2 linked regions of the Diceros bicornis minor genome follow. The protein of the gene in region 2 interacts with the protein of the main gene of each other region in a biochemical or structural test. Links are inferred from orthologs where the notes say so. Each region holds a gene or a part of one and is shown on either strand. Other genes may lie near its edges. The genes, in order: fibroblast growth factor-binding protein 1-like and FGF2.

Region 1 (12,202 bases), on a different chromosome or scaffold from region 2:
CACTTCATGTTTCTGACTCTGGCAAGCTGCTCAGCTTCTCTGAGCTTCAGTTTCCTCATGTAGAAAATGAGGGTGATAACACACAGGGGTGTCAGGGGATTGAATTAGAGAATGGGGCAAAGCCACAGGCCCATACTAGGTGATTCCCATTGCCTTTTGCACTAAGAAAAAAACCTCTCACATTTAAAGAGTTTACCAAAGGAATTTTTGACCTCCCTCCACAACCAGTCTTGTGCTGTGGACTTTGGATGGTCACTTGTGTGGAACACCTGCTACGGACACCGAGGGGCACTAGGAGCTTTAGATTTCTCAACCGCTGTCAGTCTTACAAGAACCTTTACAGATGGTTTCATTGTCCCCATTGTTGAGATGAGTCACTGGTGCTCAGACGGGTTAAATAATTGAGCCAGAGACCTTGGTTGGGAAGCAGCAGAGGCAAACCTCTAGTCCAGGTCCAGTTGACTCTGTCATGTTGGAAATAAGTGTCCTCTGAGTTCTGCCAGTGGCCACAGGCCATGAGTGAGCAGAAGATCCATCACCTTCCTGGGCTGGAAGGGATCTTAAGAGGGCTTCGGGTCTGGCCTAGTCGGTTCTCCAATGTTTACATCACCCTGACCAGACTAAGGTTATTATTTAATGACTCCCGGAAGTGTTTAACAGTGTTTTCCTATCTTAGGACTACATTGAATTGAGATGTATGAGTCGGGGAGAGGAGTCACAAGGCTGACAATCTGTGTAGACCTTAAGGGAAAATGTCCTTCCCCAGGTGTGGCTAGGAGGGGGTTGGGGAGGGTCTGGGATGTTGGTTCAATTAGGAGTGGGGGTAAGGTTCACGAGTCAGATCCTGGGCCCTGTCCTACAAAGACGCTGCAGTCTTTGATATTTCTGAACACACCAAGCAGCATCCAGTCATTGGAATAGAAGCACCAGGAAGAGAGGGATTTTTTTTTTTTTTTAGTTTTTGCTGCCCTTTTCTATCCCCAGAACAGTGTCTGGTACATAGTAGGAGCTCATAGTAGGTAATAAATAAACTAATTAATTAATTTCAGGCAATTTGCGTTGACTGTTCACTCTGTTTGGAATATGCTTAACCCAGAGAGTCACCTGGCTTGAGTCCTCACTTCAATTAGGTCTAGCCTCAAAAGTCACCTCCACAGAGAGGCCTCCCCTGACCATCTCATCTAAGACTGGTTATCCTCCATCACTTCTACCCACTTCCCCTCCTTTACTCTTCCTCTCTATCTCTTGTATACTTGTGAGTTTATCATCGCTTTCCTCTCTGGTAGTGCCATGGGGCAGAGCATCCTCCTGTATCTCCAGCCCCTAGAACAGAGTCTGGCAGAGTCTATGCCCAATATTATGTGTTGAATGAAGAAGTGAATGAATGAATGCATGCATACTCCATGGAAAGAGCTTAGCACAGTGCCTGGCACATAACAAGTGGGAGATAAATGTTAGTATTGATGGTATTGATGATGACAGCCAAATGTCACTCTGAGCCTGCCACACTCTGGATTGGCCACTGACAACCCTCAGGGTAGGTCCTGGTATGTTGGTGAGTGTAAAATGCCACCCTTCCACCCCATCTGCCATTCCTCACTGCCACTGACAGAGACTCTGAAGAACAGTGCTTTTACCAACTCCTGCTCTGCACTTTGTGCTCTTAGTGGAATTGTGATAAGGCACTGGGGACACATCATCCTCTCTCCCTAACTCTTGAGCTAAAACAATTTCAGATCCTTCATACTAACGTGGAAATGACTAATAGCAGTGTCATCCTTGCAGCCAACCACATTCCAGCCACGTGGTCTCCTCCATCTTCTAGGATTTCCTCATTTCTTTGTTTTTACACATGCTGTCATCTGCCTAAAGTGCCCCATTCTGCCCCATTTCCTACCTAAAGATACTCTGTCCAAAATCCAGCTCCAGTATCATCTCCTCTAGGAAGCTCAATCTGGGATCTTCTAGCAGTTTCTACCTCTTCTGGCTGGTTTTCCATGCTGCCTTTTCCCCCTTCCATTAGAGTCTTCATCACAGGGCGCTGTACTTACCCAGGCTCTTCTCCCCCAGGGCAGAAATGAGCTCCTCAAGCTCGGGATTCCTGCATGGGGCGGGGGGTGGTAATGGGCACTGACTTGAGTCAGTGAATGGCATGCCTCTAGTCTTAGGACTTGGCTTGCAGACCTACTGAGTTCAAATCTGCCTCCCCTCTTACCATCTGTGAGATCCGGACAAAAGTCTTAATCACACCACGCCCCAGGTGTCCCTCTTGAAATCAGGGATCCTAGTTATTACAGTTCAGTAAACATCAAATACCACAGAACATTGGATGAAAGTAGAAAGATTCTGCAATGGGTCACTTTTGGAGATCACTTGGGATGGGTGAAGAACAAGAAGTTGTTCCCTATTTTTTCCACTGATGTTTTGGGGCTCGTTTATGAGATCATTGGAACTAGACATAGAGAAACCAAACAACGGTTGAACATATTTCTGAAAGACTACCAGAGCTTTATTATCTTTGATAATTCAGCAGAAAGTGCATCACACTGAAATCACTCTGGCTCATTCAGCTCGAATACTGGTCCTCACTGCTCATATGCATATAGCTCAGTGGGCCATGGAAACATACACTTTGGTGAACAACCTCTGAAAATCACGTGAATATAAAGCAAATTCCAAAACACGAAAACAAAAATTACAAAATCTGTTTAAATATTCCACTGCACTCTCATAGCACAAATGTTCATCTTACTTGGAGAACTTTACAGCATATTGAAGAGCTTTGATGTGACAACTCCTGGTGGACTCTGTTCTGTTTTGACCTCGTTAGCATGTGTTGCTCTGTATCATGCTGAGGAAGAACATGCAGAAAGAGCTCCAGGACTCTCCGCAGTAGTCCAGGGCTGACTTCCTCTGGTTTACTAATTCTGGGTCATCCACACACTCGGTATTTTTGGTGGTCGTGGGTAGGGTCTCCCCCAGGCTGGTAAGGGTGTTCTCTTTGACCTTGAGCTGCTCCCTGGAGGAAACCTGGTTGACCTTGTTAGGCTCCGTGAGGGACGCCTCAGTGACCTTGCTCTGCTTGCTGGGAGAGGGCTCCATGTACTCCTGGCTGGGTCTCTTGCTCCCAATCAAAGTGGAGCTCACTAGCTTGAGATTGGATTCTGGAAACTTCTTTCTACACACCTTGGTCTTCAGGACACTCCTGGAGTCCCCACAGATGGCCTTCTGAGAGCGCAAACTCCGGCCAATTTGTTTCCAATAGACGTTCTTGTTGTTCGACTCTAGGCACGAGCTTGGATTGCCGGTAAAGACACAGGAAAACTTGTTGTCCTGTCGGGTACACTCGACCTTCAGGGCGATGCCCTCCCCCAGCTCAGTCACCACCCAACTGCAGTCGGCATGGTCTTTGGTGACAAACTTGCCTTTGGTAAGCCGTTTGGTCTGCTGGCTTCTCTGCTCAATCTGGGGCTTGCCCAGAGTGTGCAGTTTATCTGTGGTGGCTTTGCTGACATGTTGGTTCTTTGCTTCCTTTTTCCCCTCCAACAAGAGCACCTGAGCAACCAGAAGGAGGAAGGGCAACAGGATGAGGCTGTGGAACCTCATGGCTTCAGCTTAGTGGAACCTGTTTGACAAAAGGCAGGTGAGTCAGTGCCGGGCAGCAGTTCAGCAGGGCAAGGCTTCAGGCTGACCCTCCCTCCACCTGGACACATGCCAGCCTGCTGGCAGTGAGATCAAGAATACTTCTGGCTGGTAGAATCACTAGACAAGCAGCCCATCTGTTCACATTTCTGATTGACTGGAGTCTTGAATGTCCAAAATTTCCTACTCTTCATTCATTCCTTCATCACTCTCAGCCTCATTAACTCTCACTCACTCATTTAAACTTGTATTTTCCCACTCTTTCATCTGTCATTCAATAAGCATTTATGGAGCACCTACTATAGGCTATGCTTTGGATTAGAAGTGGACTTTTTCAAGGCGAATGAGTAAGTCATGTCTTAAAGAGCTTAGAGGCAATTCTTTGGGGGAATTTAAACAGCATTAACCAGAAGTCTGTCCCAACTGTGTCTATAACTAGATACTGGGCAAGTCACTCTCCTCCTCTGCATCTCACTTCCTATATCTGGAAATCAAGGTGTTGGATGAGATAATTGCAAACTGTCCTCTAGCTCCAGTGTGCTGGATTTCTAACTCACAGTTCCACATGGACTCAGATCACAACACGAGGAGAAAGGACATGGTAAGTGACGTGAAAGGCGATGTCTGACCCCAGGTTAAACATGCATGGGGTGGGACACTCTGAGATGGGTGGGTTGGTGAGGGGGCATTTGGGATGCAGTAAGAGTCTAAGGAAAGGCATGAGGGAGTGGAGGTCATTCAATTTGACTGGGCAAAGTGAACTGGGGGATAGGGGTGAATTTCCACCAGAGCATTTAGACTGCAGGCTTGAAGGGAAGGATCGTGTCTAATTGATTTCTGGAGTCCTGTTGTGACACAGTGCTGGGCATATGGAAAGCCCTCAGTCAGTGCTTTTAAAAATATATTATTGAAGAAACAGGATGACCTAAAATGCTACACTAAACTGCATGAATTTCACCGGGGGGGGGGGGGGATAAAAAGAAACACGCTGGGAAGGAGAAGAGAAATAGGATTTCTATTCAACATCTGCTATGTGCTATGTCCTCCACCAGCATTTGAGTCTCATCTTGTTTAATCCACTCAAGAGCCCTACCTGGTAGGTAAGAGTAAGTCACCCCCAGGTAACAGATATGACAGTTAAAACTCAGACCAGTAAATAAATTGCTCGAGATCCCATAGTGGGCAGGTGACAAAGCTGGGACAGACAGCCAGAACTTATCTCTCTGGTCCTGTAGACCAACACTTACTGATGGATTATGCCTTTATCTTTACTTTTCAGAAAAAATTGACTGCTAATAAGAAAACTACGAACTACTCAGGGTTTGGTTTGGTGTAGTTCATGATAAGATGATTCATATTATCAGTGCTCCATTTTAAAAGAAAACACAGAATTTTGTCTGCAAACCAGCAGGCCCAGAAAATTGCCTGGATCTCATTTCCACCCCGGGCATATGGCCTCCCCTTAGGATAGAGAAAGGGAAGACAGTGAAAGGTATGTGGGATCCCGAAGTGAGGGGTGGGACAAAGGCTGGGTATACCAGACAGAGACCCACTCGGTCCTCAGGGTGTTGGGACTCAGCCTCAACATGTCCCTGATGGAATCCAGACCCCAGGAACATGAGGTCCTCAAGGAGCTGGCAAAGGGCGGTGGAATTACACCCTTAAGAGAGCCAGGCTCTTACCTTGTCCTGAGGGTGCAGATCCAGTGCAATCCCAGATGCCAGAGTGAGCTCGCAGGCTTGCAGCTGTCTCATTTGCAGTGTGAGGCAGGGAAGGCCCTTTTTATAGGAGCCCAGGCAGACAGGGTTTTTACAACACACATAGCTGTGGAGCTTTTTTCACACTCCTCTCAGCCACACCCCTTTTGGAAGGAGCATTTCTTGCAGGAAAAGTGGTTGATGTAATCCTGTGTGTGTGTGTGGGGGGGTGGTGTACATGCATGGCATTAGACTTACTTCCTGCAAGGCCTTCTTTTCCTCCAGTGGCCTGGATAGGAGGACAGCTCAGCCTTGCAAAGACCCTCCCTGATGGGATGAGGACCCCAGCAGCAATATCCATAGTAGAGGAGTAATAACAAGCATAAGAAATAATCATAGTTGCCAAACACTGTGCTAGGCCTACGTATCCTAAAGCTCTCCCTTCATTCTCATCACATCCCCTCCGTGATGTGGGAAGCTATGATTCTCCGCATTGTACAGAAGGAAAATTGGAGCTTGGAGATATTCAGGGCTTATCCAAGGTCACCCTGCTGGGAAGAGGAGGAGCCCAGAGTTTAAACCCGGGCCTCCCTGCATCCATCATCTCATCTCCTCCTACCTGCCACTCTCAAGACACATTTGGTGAGTGAGCAACTGAAGCTGGGGAAGCCGTCTTAGTCTCTGTGTCCCTGTTTTCACTGAGGCACCTAAAGTTCCTGTGTAGGCAGAGGAATCCTGGGGCTCTGAGAGGCTGGCAAAGAGGAAGCTCCTGATCTGGGCGTTTCTGCTGAAAATACTCACCTTCAGGTCACTTGCGGGGACCTCACTCTGGTCAGCCTTCTATAGACAGAGTCTGGTACCAGAATGAGCTGGTGGAAGCCTGGATACAGCATTGGTTTAGGGGTGTGAGCTTTACCCCTCTGAACCTCCACTTGTTCCTCTACAGATTGCTGACAACAATAGAACCTCATTTAGGGTTTCATACTAAACTATTGAGGTGGCTGAACTATTAACCTAAAGTAGAGCTTATTGGATTTAGTTCATAATGTGGTCTTTAAAAACAGGCATATTTTGTTTTCATATTCAGCATATAGAAAGAGATTCACTTCCACAAAGAACATGTGGACCTCATTATATTTTGTCACCTCACTCTTCATTATATTTGGGCACAAGAAATTGTTATTTTCTTCTTAACTCAGCTCTACGGAAAACAATAGCACAAAGTGATACTAAAAGGCAACTGACCCTTGCCTTTGCAACAGGGACAAAAGGGAGCACTGGGGACTGCAGCAATCTGGGTAGTTCCTGATGTCTAAAAGTCAACACTCAGCTCCAATTGACTGAGAACAAGTTGACATGGGGGTCATTATTGTCAGACTTTATGATTTTTATTCATATATACATTTTTTTAACAAAAATAGAGACTTCATGAACTTTTAAGTGTTGTCTCAACATCCAGATGTGTAAATATGAAACTGGGCTGGCATCTAACTGAAATTTTTAAAAACACTGCCCTGGCCCACAATAAAGATACCAAAAGTTGTTACTGTGTTTGGAGTCCATTCAAGGTCCACCAGTTTGTGAATTCCAAGGTCCCAGAGCTATGGATGTCGACTGGGTCACTCGGTGTTTCAAAGGGTCTCTTCATGAGTTCCATTGCAGGAGGCCATTTCCCCAAACTCTAAGCCTCTTTTAAAACTGACCAGTTAAGGACTATCCCCATTGTCCCGACCACCAGCCCATAGAAGCTGTGACCTCCACACACAGGCACTCACAACGTGGTATTTAGGGGATTATTTGGACAGAGGCAAGATAAAGCTTCTTGTTCCACAGGCAGATAGAGATCAAGGTGGACTCTGAAAACATGAGAAATTTATCTTGATCCTCAGAAGGCAGCCAGATTCTTTCTGGAGGAAGGATGTAGGTCAGAACGCAAAGCAAATTTAGAAGGAAACAGGTCAACTCCACGATCTTTTCTCTAAGCTTTTCTCTAAGAAGTGTCTCTAAGCTTGGCAGGGAACATGGAACTGCCCAACTGGGTTCCATGGACCTTCAGCCTTCCTGTGATCCCATCCCAACTTCTGCCTTGATCTTTCTGTTTCAAACAGGGGGCATACTATTAGACCAGGCTGTGTAGCCCTTTCCTTATTGACTCAGCCTGTCATTCCAAACTCATTTCCAGACACGCACACACACACACGCACACACACACACAGAGTAATCTGGCCAAAGTAAACCACTCACCCAACATTTCTTGAATACTCGTGCACTTGCTTTCTTCCTGCCTCTGCTCCTGCTGTTCCCCTTACTTGGAATGCCCTTCCAGTCTTACTTTGCCAGGCACACACCAGCTCATCCTTCAAGACCCAGCTCAGATGTTGTCTCCTCTCTGTTGGTGTCATTGGTCCTCTGCTCCTTCCCTGTGCTCCCCACCCTTTCTTGGATATTCATGGAGAGAAATAGACCATCACCCCAGTGAGTGTTTACAATGTGCCAGCATTGTGCTAAGGCTGTGTTCCCTCATTAATTCACATCTCGATATACTGAGAAAATGATATACCTCTACAGTACACGGGGGAAACCAGAGAGGGTTTGGAGCTCCAGCAAGACTGTTCTCAGCAGGTTCCCATTGCCTCCTCAAACTCTCAGGACCAAGGGGATCCCTGACTCCTGGAGAACTGACTATGTAAAGGCTCATCACTCTTTTTCACAACAATCCCAGGAGGAAAGGTCCCCCTGGATCCTCTTGGTGCACATGTGGAGCTGAGGTTTATATGGCCTAAGCACACACCTGACACACAATTAGAGAAGAATTAAATGGAGGCCACTTCTAATATTATTATTAAAAACAAAGTAAACCTACTCATACTTTGATAAATTGTAAGCTCTCTCTTTCCCTTCTTACCCCATCATTCTTTAATATATATGTTTTAAATATTAGAATAGTATTAGCTTTACAAAATATTTGGAAAGATAGTTCTCCTGCCCCACACCTCACTCAGCTTCCTCTGTTGTTAACCTTTTACATCATAATGCTGCATTTGTAAACTATTGCAGCAATATTGATATAGTATTACAAGGTAAAGTCCATAGTTTGTTCAGCCCTCCATACTTTTTACCTACGTTCTATTCTTAATCATTAATAGACTTTATTTTTAAGAGCAGTTTTTGGTTCCCAGCAAAATTGAGCAGAAAGTACAGAGCATTCCACTATATACCATGTCCCTCATTTACAAAGCTGCCTGCAGTATCAATATCCTCCACCAGAATGGTCCAATCATTACAGTTAATGAACCTTCTTTGACACATCATAATTACCCAAAGTCCATAGTTTCCATAATTGTTCACTCTTGATATTGGACAATCTATGGGTTTTGACAAATGTATAATGACATGTTTCTACTACGATGGTATCATACAGAGTACTTTCACTGCCTTAAAAATCCTCTGAGCTGCACCTATTCATCCCCCCCTCCTGCCTAATCCCTGGATATCTCCAATCTTTGTCTACTGTCTCCATAGTTTTGCCTTCCCAATGCCATATAGTTGGAATCTGAATTTATTCTTTTCAGATTGGCTTCTTTCACTCAATAATACAATTTTAAAGTTCTCCCATGTCTTTTTATGGCTTGATAACTCATTTCCTTTTAGCATTTAATAGTATTCCATTGTCTGGATGTACAGAGTATTTATCCACTCACCTCCTGGAGGACATCTCATTTGCTCCAATGTTTTGGCAATTATCAATAAAGCTGCTATAAACATCCATGTGCAGGTTTTGGTGTGGACATAAGTTTTCAACCCCTAATGGTCTTTTCTGTCCAGCATCCCATCCAAGATTCCACACGACATTTAGTAGTCATGATGCCTGAGGCTCCTCCTGGCTGTGACAGTTTCTCAGATGTTCCTTGTTTTTGATGACCTTGAGGTTTTCAGGTATACTGGTCAGGTGTTTTGAGGATGTGTTCCTTTTGGGATTTGTCTAGTCCTTTACTCCTGATTAGACTGGAGTTATGTCATTCTTCTCTTCATCAGAGATTTACATGATGGAGAGCAGGTTTCCTTTTGGGAGTTCCATAGGAAGTCTGAACACATGTGGTCACCACCACAGGTTAAGGCTGGTAGTTGAATGCATGTCTCATGCAGTCTGGTCACTGGCAGGAGATTTCAAGTTCAAAAGCTGATTTTATTCTCATGTGTGTTACTACCGTATGGTTCCTTGACCTAGAGGGTTCCCATCTGGGGGTGCAGCCATCAGAGATTATATTAGTGGATGCAACTTTGTTCTGAGGGGAGTCTTAACTGTGCATTTTGCCAGGCCACACTTGGTCAAAAATCAGCCCCTCCTTCAAAAGTGACCTCATGTACAGACAAAATCCTGAGTTGCTGCATCAAATTGATATTAATTTCTTGGACCAAATGATGTGCATTAACAACTTATTCATTGTCAGAAAATGAGGAAATTGGTCAAACAAACATCAGCTAGAATCTAATGAGGTGGCAGAAAGTAGTCATCTTAGATCTTCTGAGGAGTGTTGACATTCCAAATTTAAAATGCTCACTAGTCATGGGATTTCAGAATCCTTGTATAGCAAATCAAATGATGCACAGTGCTCAAGTTTTACTTCCAAAAAATAAGAGACAGAGAGGAGTTGATGGTACAGCATTTGGTGTGAATGCAACCTGAAAATCTATTTATGTTTATTTAAGGAACGCCCTGTGTCATACCCCATAATATTGAACACATTTTGTTTGTAGCCGTGTGCACTACTTGGTTCTGATTCTGAATCCACCTAAAAAGTAACTCACAGAGTTTAATTAAATTAAACTAAATGAAATTATTGTTTGTGGTAATTTGGTAGGTAAAAATGGTAGAATATCAGCAATTCTGAATAGATCAACGTATAATAATAGTTAGGATTTTTTTCTCTAATAAGGCTTGTTTCAAAGCCTTATATGTTCTTTTAAAATTTTTTTTGGTTTATTTTATAACAAACTCTCCACACAAGGTAAGTTCATTGATCACCTCTGGGTCCTCATGTATGTTCTTTTTAATAAATCACTGTAAAACATCTTAGACATCCTTTAAAGAAGTCTGCTCCTTTTGGATAAAGCATCACATATGGGTGTACAACTGACCTCTCCGTATCTTGTGGCAGAAGGAAGTCCTAGGGAGGCTGCCTTTGGAATTTTCCATCTCCACTGTATGTTTGTTACAAAGAGTGCCAGTTGCCACCCTGGGAAGCTGGAAAAGGGAGAAGACAAGCTGCCCTTTCTCTGCGATAATGCTGCCAGTCACCATGCACGTGGGCATATGAATCGCAGCTGCTGTCCAGCAGGTGAAGACGTTTAGATGAAAGGCATCAGAAAACAGCTCTGAAAAGCCTGTAAAGGCACCTGGGAAAATGGCTCCCACATTCAGAGAGCAGAGCACTCTCACATGCTGTGGGCTGTTTAGGGGAAGATAGAGATGGCAGAGGAATAAAATACTGGACGGCTCTAGGAAGAACAGGGCTAGCCTCTAACCTGACCTCATTCATTCTGCCACTCAGGGGGCCGGCCCCGTGGTGTAGCGGTTAAGTGCACATGCTCCACTGCTGGCGGCCCGGGTTCAGATCCCGGGCGTGCACCGATGCACCGCTTGTCAGGCCATGCTGCGGAGGAAGTGGGCACGGATGTTAGCCTAAGGCCAGTCTTCCTCAGCAAAAAAAGAGGAGGATTGGCATGGATGTTAGCTCAGGGCTGATCTTACTCACAAAACAAACAAACAATATTCTACCACTCAGTCTGTCATTCATTCATTCTTCCATTCATCCAAAGAGCGCTCATGAAGCACCTAATATCCCAGGCTTTCTGTCATTGACTAGAATGCAGTCAGGGCAACATAGTCCTTGCTCTCAAAGAGATGGCAGATAATAGGGAGAAAGGCAAGGATACCTATCATGACCATATACGAGTAATTACTATGTTGGAGGGAAGCCTGGGTACTCAGGGTGGAGACATCTAACTTAGTCAGTGGCAGAGAGAATTTCTCAGGTTCCTGCAACTAGGTAAGAGACAACTCAACAGCTAGAGGTAAAAGAACAGTATTTATTCAATCATTATTCAGTAACCACTCTATGCAAACTGCAGTGTTAGTCATCGTAGGGAATGCAAAGGTGAATATGATTTGGCTTTTGCCCTCAACACTGGTCCGCACAGTCTATGGCTCACTGTCTGATGATTGCTGTAGTGGTGACATCTCCTCACTTCCTAGCCTCAAGCGTCTTATCATTTTTCATCTGCTTAGAGAATGAGGCTCAAATTTCTGAATCTGACATATGAGGACTTTCCCTTCTTGATCTGCCATTTCAAGGTCAATACCCGCCACACCCTACACACATGTCCTTGGGCTCCAGCTACATCTGGCCGTCTACTCTTCCCCCCACATTTCAGGAGACATTGCCTCTGCCAAACTCACCTTTACCTAAAATTCCATTCTACCCTTATCTACCTGGTAATTTCTCCTTCTACCTGACTCCCGCTGTCCACAACAGAATTCATTATTCCTCATCTGTGTCCTCACAAATCTTTACACACTTCACCATTATTATAGGTGACTTGTCAGCTTGCTGTGGTTCGTTCATGTGCTTGCCACCATCCTCATTATGGGGAGTGATGTCTCTAGCCCAGAGCTCAAGCATGAAGCTTAGAAAATACTTAGCAAAAATTTATTGGATTGAATTGAATTTTCTTTTATCAGGATTATTCTGATTGCAATAATAGAAAGAAAACTGAAATCAACAGAAACAAAATCGAGAATTTATTGGAAGTTTCTTATAACTTATGGAAAACAAGGGTTGTGTAGGATGACTGTCTCAAAA
Region 2 (12,092 bases):
ATTATTAATAATAATAAAAGTGGCAAACCAACATATAGCACTTACTATGTGTCAAGCACTTCTAAGGACTTAATATGTATTAACTCACTTAAAGCCTGAAACAAAATGGCTAAATGTGTCACTTAAAGCCTGAAACATAATGAGCCTTATGCATAAGGCTCTGTGCTCCAGCAGAGATGGCTTCCAAATCTGTATCGGAGCTTCCTAGTGGCCAATATAAGAATGGAAAGATGATTAGTTACATAACAGTGACGATAAGATAAAAATAAGCCAATTTTTTGGGAGGAGCTCAGAAAATTCTTGTTTCTGTGAGCCAAGAGAAAATTATTCCATGGTTCTTCAAAAAATGGAATGTGTAGAGCATGCCAATGTCAATCTTAATTAATGATTAGGTCCGTAAGCTATTTCCTTATAACTTTTTTTAATGTAGGCAGAGAGCTTAACACCAAGCTTGGTTAAGAACAAGCAATTTTACAAGAGGCAGACATGATATGCTGTACATAGAAACTTTCTGCAACTTGGCTTGATCCAGGTATGAAATTTAGACTATTTTGAGGAATAGATGATTCATTCACAATATGATTTTACAAACTGAGACTTTATAATTATGAGGCAGCATAGTATTCAAATATATACTCCGTTAGGTAACTAACAGGTTGTTAAAATAAAAAAAAAAAAGGAGACCATCCTTGAAAATTCCTTGAGCAGACAAAACCAGTTTAATCATACAAGCAAAGCTTAATTTAGCTTATTTTGCAAGACTAGCTTGCCCTGGGTCATTTCTTGCTTATGCCTCTGGAAATCACAAGCAAAATTTGAACTGTTTCCCAAGGTTCATATGAAGTAACCACTGAAAATTCTAATATTATAACCAATCACTGTGAAGAATAAATAGTCCCTGCTTTCTCACTACATAAGCTGCTTTGTGACAATACACCCCTGAGCCTTGTTCCATGTTTTGGTTTGAGTGCTTGTGGTTTGCAAACTGTCTTTTTGGTGTGTGTACAATAAATTTTTACTAATTACTACTTCAGTGATTCACTGGTTTTACTTATGTTATTTCTGAACTTTTGACATTTCATGGTGTCAGAAGTGGGATCCAAAGAAGACTCCTCACCAATGACTCTGAGGCCAGTGAGCAAACAAGTGCTGGTACCCACAGAACCCACTGAGCTCACTGCTTTTTCACTGACCCTGGAATTTGAGGGTAAGTCTTTCTCGGATCCAAACTTCACTTTCTTTGCATGTTGAGCTCTCTAACTTTATTGTGCATACTTGTACTTTGTTTGTTGAAGCTTCTTGGTAAGTCATCCTATTCTCTTCAAAAGGGGAAAAACACATGATTCTCTATGTTTTGGAACAGCCGTTGGAAAACAGGAACCCTCATAGTTAAGATGTGTTAGGGAATCTAAAGCAAAGATGGGTTCCACCTGGTCTATGGACCAAGATCTTGTGCCTTTTTGGAAAATTGATGAATTTTTGGAATTATAGTGGCCACTTTTGGGAGACTTTAACTTAGATAAGTCCACTTTCAGGGGCACACTTAAAAGAGAGGATTCCCAAACCTCTCAGAGACAAGAGAATGCATTCTTTGATTGGTATCCACAACCTTCTAAAAGACAAAATGACTCCAAAAATAAAGCTCTAAAAGAATCATTACAGCATGCAAATAAAAAATCTTTAGTAAAAAACTCTTTGACCATCTGAGCAGGTAACCTTAACTTAGTCCATCTGCCAGAAACACAATTTGGATTCAACAATTCTTTTGAGTTTTGTACCTGAGACATGGCTAAAATTTTTTAAACAAAAGCTATAAGATCTCTGTTTGTTTCTATCTGTATGTTTATGTATGTCTCTGTATGTATGTTACAGATATGTGATATTTTTCTACCTCTGGATGGTATTGCCAAAGTTAATTTGTAAAGAGGTCTATTTAATTGGCTTAAAGAAAACTAAGCATTTGTATAAATCAAGTATACTCTCAGAAATACAGAAACTAGCCCAAATGTTTTTATGTTCACATGATCTGGGATAATCTTTGATAAATAAAAGCTATTTTAAGTTTGTTGGTTTAATAGAAGCAGGCATGTCTCCAAATTCTATCAACAACAAAAATAACTTAAGATGATGGTTAGCTGTTTAATGTCTAACCCAAGCATAATTGTTAAAAGCAAGTAATTTAAATAAATGTAAATAAGGTAAAAGTTTATACTAAGTTAAACTAAACAATGGGTATTCATTGAATATCAAAATCGTTTTCAAATAAGGTAAATATTAAATGCTAAACAATAAGTTTATCTAATTTTGGCTTTTAAATTTTTTTACAGAGAAACAAAAGATATTTGTGTCTACTAATACGCACGTTTTGTGCCACATTGAAAAGTTTACTATGATAAAAAAATACACTTCTAGAAATTATGAAATGTATTTATAAATTGCCAATCTACTATAGGATGCTAATATATGATAGAAAGATTACAGTTGCCTACTTCCCAGTTTTCACTGGAAAGATTACAAGTAGTTAAAATTTATAGTCAATATGTAAAAAAAAAAAAACTACTAGAAATAATAAGGGTGAAGGAAAATGACTGTATATGAAAAGTAGGCAAGGAAAATAGAATGTATTTTCTGGATAAGGAAAAGTATGCAGGACATGGTTTTTTTTTGTTTTGTTTTTTGTGTGTGTATGTAAAAAGGAAAAAAGAAAGTAATTTTGTCCTAAAATAAAATGATTGCTCCAGAATAAGAAAGGAAAAAGATAGGACAAAACCTAAATGGATATAGAAAGTTGTAGAAGGTTTCTTGTGGAAAAAAACTCCTGAGAAAGGAATTTTATATGTGGTCAAGTTGACTAGGATTGGAATGGATTTATTTAAGTTAAAAAGAAAGAAAAAAAGAGAGTTTTAATATCAAAAGTACACTGGTGCAAAATTAGAATTTGGTTTTTTTTCCGTTCAAAGGACAAAGTTTTCTTAGGTTATTGGTCTGCTCTTAATAAGAAACTATATTGGGGCCGGCCTGGTGGCGCAAGTGGTTAAGTGCGCGTACTCCGCTGCTGCGGCGGCCCGGGGTTTGCCAGTTCAGATCCCGGGCATGAACTGACGCACCGCCTGCCAAGCCATGCTGTGGTGGCGTCCCATATAAAGTAGAGGAAGATGGGCACGGATGTTAGCCCATCAGCAAAAAAAGAGGAAGATTGGCAGATGTTAGCACAGGGCTGATCTCCTCACAAAACAAAATAAAAAAGAAACTATAAACAAAGGTTTTCCTTTACCTTTAATATAATCTGCTGAAGAAACAAAGATTCTGTGTCTTATAAAAATATTTCCTGTGTTTCATGTTTTCTTCATCATGCTTTGATTAATTAGAAAAATCGTCTTCTCTATTAAAAGAGCTAAGGTTTTTTACAACTATATAACTTTCTATATTTGCCTCTGAAATCTTTTGTCACTTTAGTTGAAGGGATAACTAAGTATTGTTTCACAGTGACCTATAATCCTATTTGATCAAATGTTTTAAATTTTTTGACATTTTTAACAAACTTCCTCAAATCAAATTCTGAATGAAGTCTTTTTGATCTTGAACTAACTTTGGGATTTTACAGAAGGCCCCTGGAACATCTCAAAAGATTTGTTTTCTCTCCTCATAAAAGAAAAATATTAAACTAATTGTGCTTATTTGATATGCTAAATTACATGGGAAGCTTTGTCAAATAAGAAGTGATGCTAAACTTTCTTTAGTTTATATTTGTATAAATATGTTATTAATATAAGTGTTAAAGAAATTATATGAAATTCCTAAAAATCTGATATGTCCTGGTATAATGTTATCAGTCACTATTCTAGTTATTGTTTTCAAGTGTATGTCAGAGAAATAACCAAATTTCCTTGTCAACCACATTATAAGGAACTCCCACAAGATCTTTAACCATGGTCATTTTTAAGTCTTTTGTCATTTACTGACAGTTATTGTTTTACTCTGATGTTTTTGCAAAAATCTTCTTGTGAAGTGCATTTCATCTTCAAAGAGATTCATGGAAAAGATCCTGACAAGTACTCTAAAATGCAGGCTTCTGATAACTGAACTGGATAAGAATTTATAGAATTCTAATGGGAAACTGATTGACTCATAAAGTTGCTAACCCAAGATGAAGCAAAACAAGAATTAATTACAGGAGACTAAATCAACTGATGAAGATGATTATGATTTTTATGAGTTCATTTAAAACATTGCTGATTCTGTAATGTTTTGTTTTCCAGATTTAAAGCATCCCTTTTTCTCCTGTCTTTTAAGCTATCTATAACTCAGGGCAACTTGGTAAAGTGTTTCTTTGCAACAAAAGTTGAAGCATTTATCTTTTTCTTCCTACCTGATTCCTCCAGAATTTAGAAACTCTTATTAAATATTCTTATTTTTCATGAAAATATATGTATTTGCATAAGTTCAATAAGAATCTATTCTCCTTGTAACAGGACACAATTGGACAAGTCCTTGGCTTGGCTTCCTAGCCTCAAGAGGCTTTTGATAGTCCACTCTGAGATTCCTTATGAAAAGTTCCAGCAAAGCAAATTCAAAGGAGCCTATATAGTCAATCACTATTCTTGCTGCACTTATGTAAATAATCAGCCAAGTTTATTCAAACTAGAATTAATTTGCAAACAAATTAGTCTTACTATGGTTATCTTTGATAGAAATGGGAATGATCATAAGGAGAAAAATTATATTTCAGAAATACATCTTGGTGGATATCAGATTCTAGTACTGTTAATTGTCTTTGAGGTTTTCTTTTCTACCTGTAACCTGGACTGGATCCTGAATTCTTCTAGTTCCCTCCAGTATTTGGCTAGAAATTTCCAAACTAAAATTTCCAATTTTCTCCCATTCTTTCAACCTGGAATCACTATGAAACTAAAACTGCCCTTTTCCAGAAGCCATGCCAGCTATAGCTGGACATATTGATATAAACTTCAGAGAAATCATCACTTGTGTGTGGACAATCTTCGTGCCTGTTGCTATGCGGCCACTCAGAAAGATGGCCAGAGACATTCACCCTGCAAACCAGGAAAATCTGTCAGATTGACACTGCTTGCCTTGCTCCACCTGAAGAGGCTTAGACACTGACATTTAGAAATCTTTTCAACTGGCTGCTTTCCAAACTCAGAAACTGAGTTTATAATTTGCTCCAACTATTAACCTTTGTTTTTCTTTTGTTTCCACAGAAATGCCTCTCACTAAATTACCTGATTGCTCACATCATATAGAGACCTAATTGAAATGAAAGCTCACCTGTATCACCACTTCCTGAAATAAAACATCCTCACATTCATCTTGTCCTAAGTAATCATGAGGATATGTGTTTGCTAATACATCATGTTATGTTCATGTAAATAACTTAAAAAAATCAAAACTCATGTGATTTATTTAGTTGTTTAAATCTTGGCTCCTAGAAATCTCTGCTTCAGGAATTTTTCAGTCCTTGGCTATTGTTCTCCTTATAGTAGTCATATTAACCCTCTAGTACGTCGTATACTCTCAAGGGTTTTAAATGTCTGTCAGCAGCCACTCACACGCCAAATGGTACCCATCAGGATCAGACAACAGGGTGAAAGCAATAACCACATATGGGGCCAGCTCTGTGGCATAGTGATTGAGTTCGGAGCGCTCCATTTTGGCAGCCCAGGTTGGTGGGTTTGGATCCTGGGCGCGGACCTACACCACTCATCAGCCATGCTGTGGCAGTGACCCACTTACAAAATGGAGGAGGATTGGCACAGATGTTAGCTAAGGGCTAGTCTTCCTCAAGCCAAAAAAAAAAACAAAACAGAAAGATTGGCAACAGATGTTAGCTCAGGGCAAATCTTCCTCAGCAAAAATAATAATAATAATAATAATAACCACATAAATGACAAAGACAGTGACTACATGGCCCTCCGGCCTGACGACTCAACTAGCGGAAACAGTGAATATGTGATTCTCTGGCCTGACTACGTCAATGGTCATAACCAAGAATAACGCTAAACTAGTTGGTCATTCTCTCAGCCTGCTGAGAGAATGACCAAAAGGGGGGAATTGTTAAAATCAAAAACAAATGGAGATCATCCTTGAAAATTCCCTGAGCAGACAAAACCAGTTTAATCATACAAGCGAAGCCTAATTTAGCTTATTTTGCAAGACTAACTTGCCCCGGGTCATTTCTTGCTTATGCCTCTGGAAATTACAAGCAAAACTTGAACTGTTTCCCAAGGTTGATATGAAGTAAGCACTGAAGATGCTAATATTATAACCAATCACTGTGAAGATAAATAGTCACTACTTCTCACTATATAAACTGCTTTATAACACTACACCCCTGAGCCTCAGTTCATGTTTTTGTTTGAATGTTCCTCGTTTGCAGACTGTCTTTTTGTTGTGTATACAATAAACTTTTACTAATTACTACTTCAGTGATTCGCTGGTTTTACTTCTATTATTTCTGAACTTTTGACAAGGCAGACATCCCACGTTATTATTTAAAGATAGAATCATGAGCTTCAACAGTCAGCCAACCAAGAGATTTGTGTCCTATTGAGAAAGTATGAGAAGCCTAACCAGGAGACATGTCTCTTTACGGAGGTAGGATTAGGGACTGTCTGCCAGCAGGCCAAGAGTCCTTAAACAATATTGTGGTAGATTGCATTATTGGCTTCAATTCTTCACCTCTTATTGTTACTTGGAGTTTTCCCTGTGACTTAGTAGTTCCTCCTACTAAAGGTGAACTTGGCTATTCCATTGGCTTGGGTGGAAGTGACAGTACGTCAGTTCTGAACCTAGACCTTCAGAGATCCTTCATATTTTTGCTTGTTCTCTTGTGCCTATGCCATTGCCATGAGATAAACTTACTTTAGGTAGCTGCTGCCCCTTCAGTCTGGGCCTCAGAATAAACACATTTTGAGCAGAGCTGTTTCTACCTATCTGCGACTTGTAGCATGAGGCAGAACCAGGTGTTGCAGTCAGAGGCAAAATGTCTCTAGCCACTTCACAGATCCATGAGCAAAATAAATGCTTTTGTTAAATGCCACTGAGATTCTTTTGTGGTTTTTTTGTTACACAGCAATAGCTGACTGTTGCATTTGTGCTAGGTCAATTTCCAACATATGAACAAATAGAAAATGGAGGTTCCAAATTTTTACCCCATAGAATATGGCAATGATAATTTCAGCTTGAAAAGTTTTTAAAGCAAGTTTATCGAGCACCCACTTTGACCACAAAAATATATTAAGAAAGTACCAAATAGAATGTCTACTTACCATTAAACAATGTAAATTCTTGGTGAAGCTTTGAATACAATAACAGTAGCAACTATATTTTTTTAAGGCAAAGTGAGCCAGGTATTACACTACACACATTACATTAATTACCTCATTTCACTTTCATCAGTTATGCAAGGTAGATGGTAAAAATGCAAACTCCTGTCAGTGAATGTTGGCCAACCAATAGTTACTTAAAACAGTTAACTTGCAAATTCCCCTTAACTAACAAAATCTTTGGATGTTCTCCATTCTATTATTAACTAAAGAAACTCGGAATCAAATAGGCATAACTCTCTGAGGTTTGGAAACCATCCTTGTCAGGTCACCTTGCCTGCAGAAATAAGACTTAATATCACTACTTCCTCTTGCAAATATTTTCTGGGCCTATGACAACTTTTAGTAGTTTCCATCCTTGACCTGTTAGTGTTACGGTAATTTTATTGCAGTGACCAGAACTGGAGATGTTTAGTCTATTGGCATTCTAACTTACCTGAATGAAAAGTCAAGTCATATTTTGTTTGGGCTTCAATGAACCTATTCACTCGATGGAAGTTAGTCTAGTCTTTTTGTATTGATGTAGATTGAAAAACACGGGCATGCGCTTTTTTTGCAACTCATCCTATCAAGAGGAGGAATCTATTCCCCACCCCTTGAATCTCGGCTGTTCTCATCACTTGCTTTGACAAAAAGAATGTGGTAGAAGTGAAGTTGCGTGACTTCCAAACTAGATCTTAAGCTTCTGCCTTGGGTCTCTGGGAATGCTGCCCAAGAGGGACATGTAAGGCAGCCAGTCTAGCTTACCGAGGATGAGAGGCCAATGGAGAACTAATTGCCCCAAGAGATAGCCAGATCCAACTGCCAGATACGTGCCTGAGGCTATCTTGGACCTTCTAGCCCAGCTGATCCCAGCTGTATGCCCAGGCAAAACCAGCAGAGGAGCACCCACCCAACACACAGAATCATGAGAAATAGTAAGTGGTTGTTGGTTTAAGCTGCTAAGTTTTGGGGTGGTTTATTACACGGAAATATACAATACAGAATATACTCATACTTTTCCTTCTTATTCTTAGTAGCATAGTGGAAAATATTAGATAATTTGGAAAAAAGTAGTGAACTAAGGAGAACAGGCAGTGAGTAAATTCTATGCAGATGGATCACACAGCTTTATTTCACAAACAGGAAAGGGGACAAATGGAGCAAGTCTCATTGCAGATGAGAGGAGATGAGTGACTTCTGCAGATCAGGGAGGTAACCAGCAAGTTGTAGGGGGACGGCTCTGCCACGGCACCCTCGTGACCCCGCACATATCCAGATAGGCCAGGTTTGGACTGTAGCCTGTCCTAAGTCTTGGCAGATCCTCCTTGCGGTCTTCCTGGAACACCACAGCACGGAGGCTTGTGAGGAGTTGCTACCAGGACATGTCTCACTCGCTTCCCTGTCTGTCAGGGAGACTGACATAAGACAGTTTCTCATCGCCTCCCAGGTTCTGATGAGGTGTGAGGCATTCTGCCTCGCCCACCTTAGACAGAACGTCAGGCTATAAAACCATTTAGTTGCAACCCGGAACTCCCTGCTTGGCCACAGAGTGTACTGCAACTCGCTCTGCAATCATCTGGCCCTTTTGTTGCATGTCATCCTTTTTGGTCTGTGGAGCCAGGACCACGGGGAACTGGCATCTTTAGCTACTCTTCCTTTAGTTGTCCATGTAAGTAATAAACCATCTAAAGCTAAAAAGGGCTCGTTGTGTCTTCACTGGCCCAAACTGGCAGGGCTTGGCCGTGGCCTTGCCTATTGTGTGCTTGACACAGGTCAGTAATGAAATCAAAAGAGCTTGTCATAAAGAATTGGCTGGCGCAGGGAAGGCCCTGAAGTATGGCTCCTGGTGCATAATAGGTACTGAGGTACAGTGGCTAATGCATAGTAGGCACAGCAGTATAATGGATGGTGCATAGTAAGTACTGAGGTACAGTGGCTGGTCCATGGAAGGCACATAAGTGTAGTGGCTGGTGCAAATTAGGCACTGAGGATGAGTGTCCGGTGCATAGACGGTACTGAGGTATAGTGGTACAGAGCCAGAGCTGACGGCCTAGTGGTTCAAGTGCGGCACGCTCCACTTCAGCAGCGGGGGTTCAGTTCCCGGGTGCGGAACCACAACACTCATCTGTCAGTAGCCATGTTGTGGCAGCAGCTCACATAGAAGAACTAGAAGGACTTACAACTAGAATATACAACTACGTACTGGAGCTTTGGGGAGGGAAAAAAAAAAGAGAGGAAGATTGGCAACAGATGTTAGCTCAGGGCCAATCATTCCCTTCCCAAAAAAGAATTTCTTTAAAAAAAAAAAAAGAATTAAACAAACAAAAAAACCCATAATTCTGTAGTTAAGGTGGGGTGAAGATCTGACACATTTTCTGAAGTACAAGAAAGAGGATTGCCTTTTTCCTCCTTTGATCTTCTTCAAAGTGTAGGGAACACAATGACAGCCACAGTAGAGGAAAATGAAAACAATAACTGCAAAATTAAATAGGAATTATATGCTTTATCAATTTAGGTTTATGTGATTTCTAGATTGATTTGTATGAGTTCTTTATATAGTAAAGACACTTTCTTGTTGTATTTGTTGAATATATGTTTTCCCAGTTTGTTTACTTTGGGGGCTTTCTGAAATCTGGATTTCTACATTTTTACATAGCTAGATCCATAAATCTTTCATTCAGCACTTCCTTCATCTTTTCTAATTTAAAAAGTTCTCCCTACTCCAAAGGCTTGAGCAATATCTGTTTTTTTTTTTTCTATGACAAAAAATATTTAATTCTTCAATCCTCCCAGAATTTGTTTTGGTAGGTGGTTAAAGGTCAGCCTCAACTATTTTTTCCTAACTAGCTAATGAAGTTTCTTTTTTTTTGGTGAGATTAGCCCTGAGCTAACATCTGTTGCCAATCCTCCTCTCTTTGCTGAGGAAGACTGGCCCTGGGCTAACATCCCTGCCCATCTTCGTCCACTTTATATGGGATGCTGCCACAGCATGGCCCGACAAGTGGTGTGTCAGTGCGTGCCTGGGATCCGAACCCGTGATCCCTGGGCCACCGCAGCGGAGTGTGTGCACCCAACCACTACGCCACCGGGCCGGCCCTTTTTTTAAATTAATTAATTAATTAATTAGTGAGGAAGATTAGCCCTGAGTTAACATCTGTCGCCAATCCTCCTCTTTTTTTTGCTGAGGAAGACTGGCCCTGGGCTAACATCCGTGCTCACCTTCCTCCACTTTATATGGGACGCCACCACAGCATGGCTTGACAAGCGGTGCGCTGGTACACGCTAGGGATCCGAACCCCAGGCCACCACAGCAGAGCACGTGCAGTTAACCACTACACCACCAGGCTGGCCCCTCATTTATTTCTTAAACCTTAACTTCTCCATTGACCTTTTGAAAGTTTTTAAAATTTATTGTTAAATTTACATACAGTATAATTCACTCTTTTTGATGCGTAACTCTATGAGTTCTGACAAATGTATAGAATTGTGTAACCACTACCAGAATCAAGTTCCATCATCCTAAAAAGAAAAGAGTTCTCTCTAAAAAAAAAAGAATTCCCTCTTGCCACCCCTTGGTAGTCAAACTCTCTCTCCACTTCTTAATAACAGCTTTATTGAGATAAAACTTCCAAACCATGCAATTCACCACTTAAAGTGTATAATTCAGTGGTTTTTAGTATAGTCAAAGAGTTGTGTAATCATCACTACAATTAATTAATTGAGTTTTGAGAGTTATTCACATATTCTGAGCACAAATATGTGATTTACAAATATTTTCTCCCAGTCTGTGACTTGTCTTCTCATTATCTTAACAGTGTCTTTTTCAGAACAAATCCTTTTAGTTTTGAAGTCCAATTTATCAATTTTTTTTTATGGATCACATTTTTCATGTCATATCTAAGAATTCTTTGCACAACCCAAGGGCACAAGGATTTATCCTATGTTTTCTTCAAAAGGTTTTTTAGTTTTATGTTTTACATTTAGGTCTATGATCCATTTTAAGTTAATTTCTGTATAAGGTGTAAGGTACAGATCAAAGCTCATTTTTTGGCATATGGATATCCAATTTCTGTTGAATTTTAATGCTTCATCATGTTAGATATTTGTAATAAAATAAGGTCTATTGTCAAGCTATTTTTCTGCACCATTGGTCTGTTCGATAATTGATCTATTTGATTGTCTAATACCAGTATCACACTGTTTTAACTTTATAAACTTAAAAATATATATAGCATAAGGTGAATCTCTACTCCCCACCATATCCCAAATCTCATCTTTAGTAATAAGAACATGGAATCAACACTTCAATTATGTGACATCCATGCTCCTAATCAATCTTTACAAGTTCATCTGTACCATCAATAAATGCATCTCAATAGATGAAAAACCTGTGCTTTGGAAAGATAGCCTGGGTTGGCTCAGAAGCAAAGATACAGCCAATATCTGAAACTTTAACTCATACTTTAGAGAAAATGTAGATACTTTGGCATAAATTGTTTCAAGTTATTAAAATATTTAAGACAAAATTAATGAGTTCTCTTTTTTTCTGGTCATTGTTAACTGTCCACAAAGAAAAAAAGAGTGAGAAAAATAAACCAGCAATACTGGGAATTTAATTTCACTGCTATGTAAATAATTTTAGATATAAACAAAATTTGGGTGGAATGGATATATTTTCTCTACAAAAGAACCTGATGCCCAGAAGTGCATAAATACTGATATTAAAGTCTTTAGGGAAGCACATAGAATTTAGGGAAAGCTTTGGTG

What was found.
Region 1: the proteins of FGF2 (region 2) and fibroblast growth factor-binding protein 1-like form a complex in vitro, tested with the Homo sapiens proteins (2 studies listed by BioGRID and IntAct, with this or other methods). The link is inferred for Diceros bicornis minor from reciprocal best matches to the Homo sapiens genes FGF2 and FGFBP1.

The regions. Positions count from the first base shown.
Region 1 is NC_080747.1:12,401,626-12,413,827, forward strand, and holds fibroblast growth factor-binding protein 1-like, read right to left. Parts: upstream 5,356-12,202; 5' UTR 5,325-5,355; intron 3,626-5,324; 5' UTR 3,607-3,625; coding exon 2,827-3,606; 3' UTR 2,487-2,826; downstream 1-2,486.
Region 2 is NC_080750.1:15,950,875-15,962,966, reverse strand, and holds the start of FGF2 (fibroblast growth factor 2), read right to left. Parts: upstream 5,668-12,092; coding exon 5,568-5,667; intron 1-5,567. UniProt on the Homo sapiens protein: Acts as a ligand for FGFR1, FGFR2, FGFR3 and FGFR4. Also acts as an integrin ligand which is required for FGF2 signaling. Binds to integrin ITGAV:ITGB3.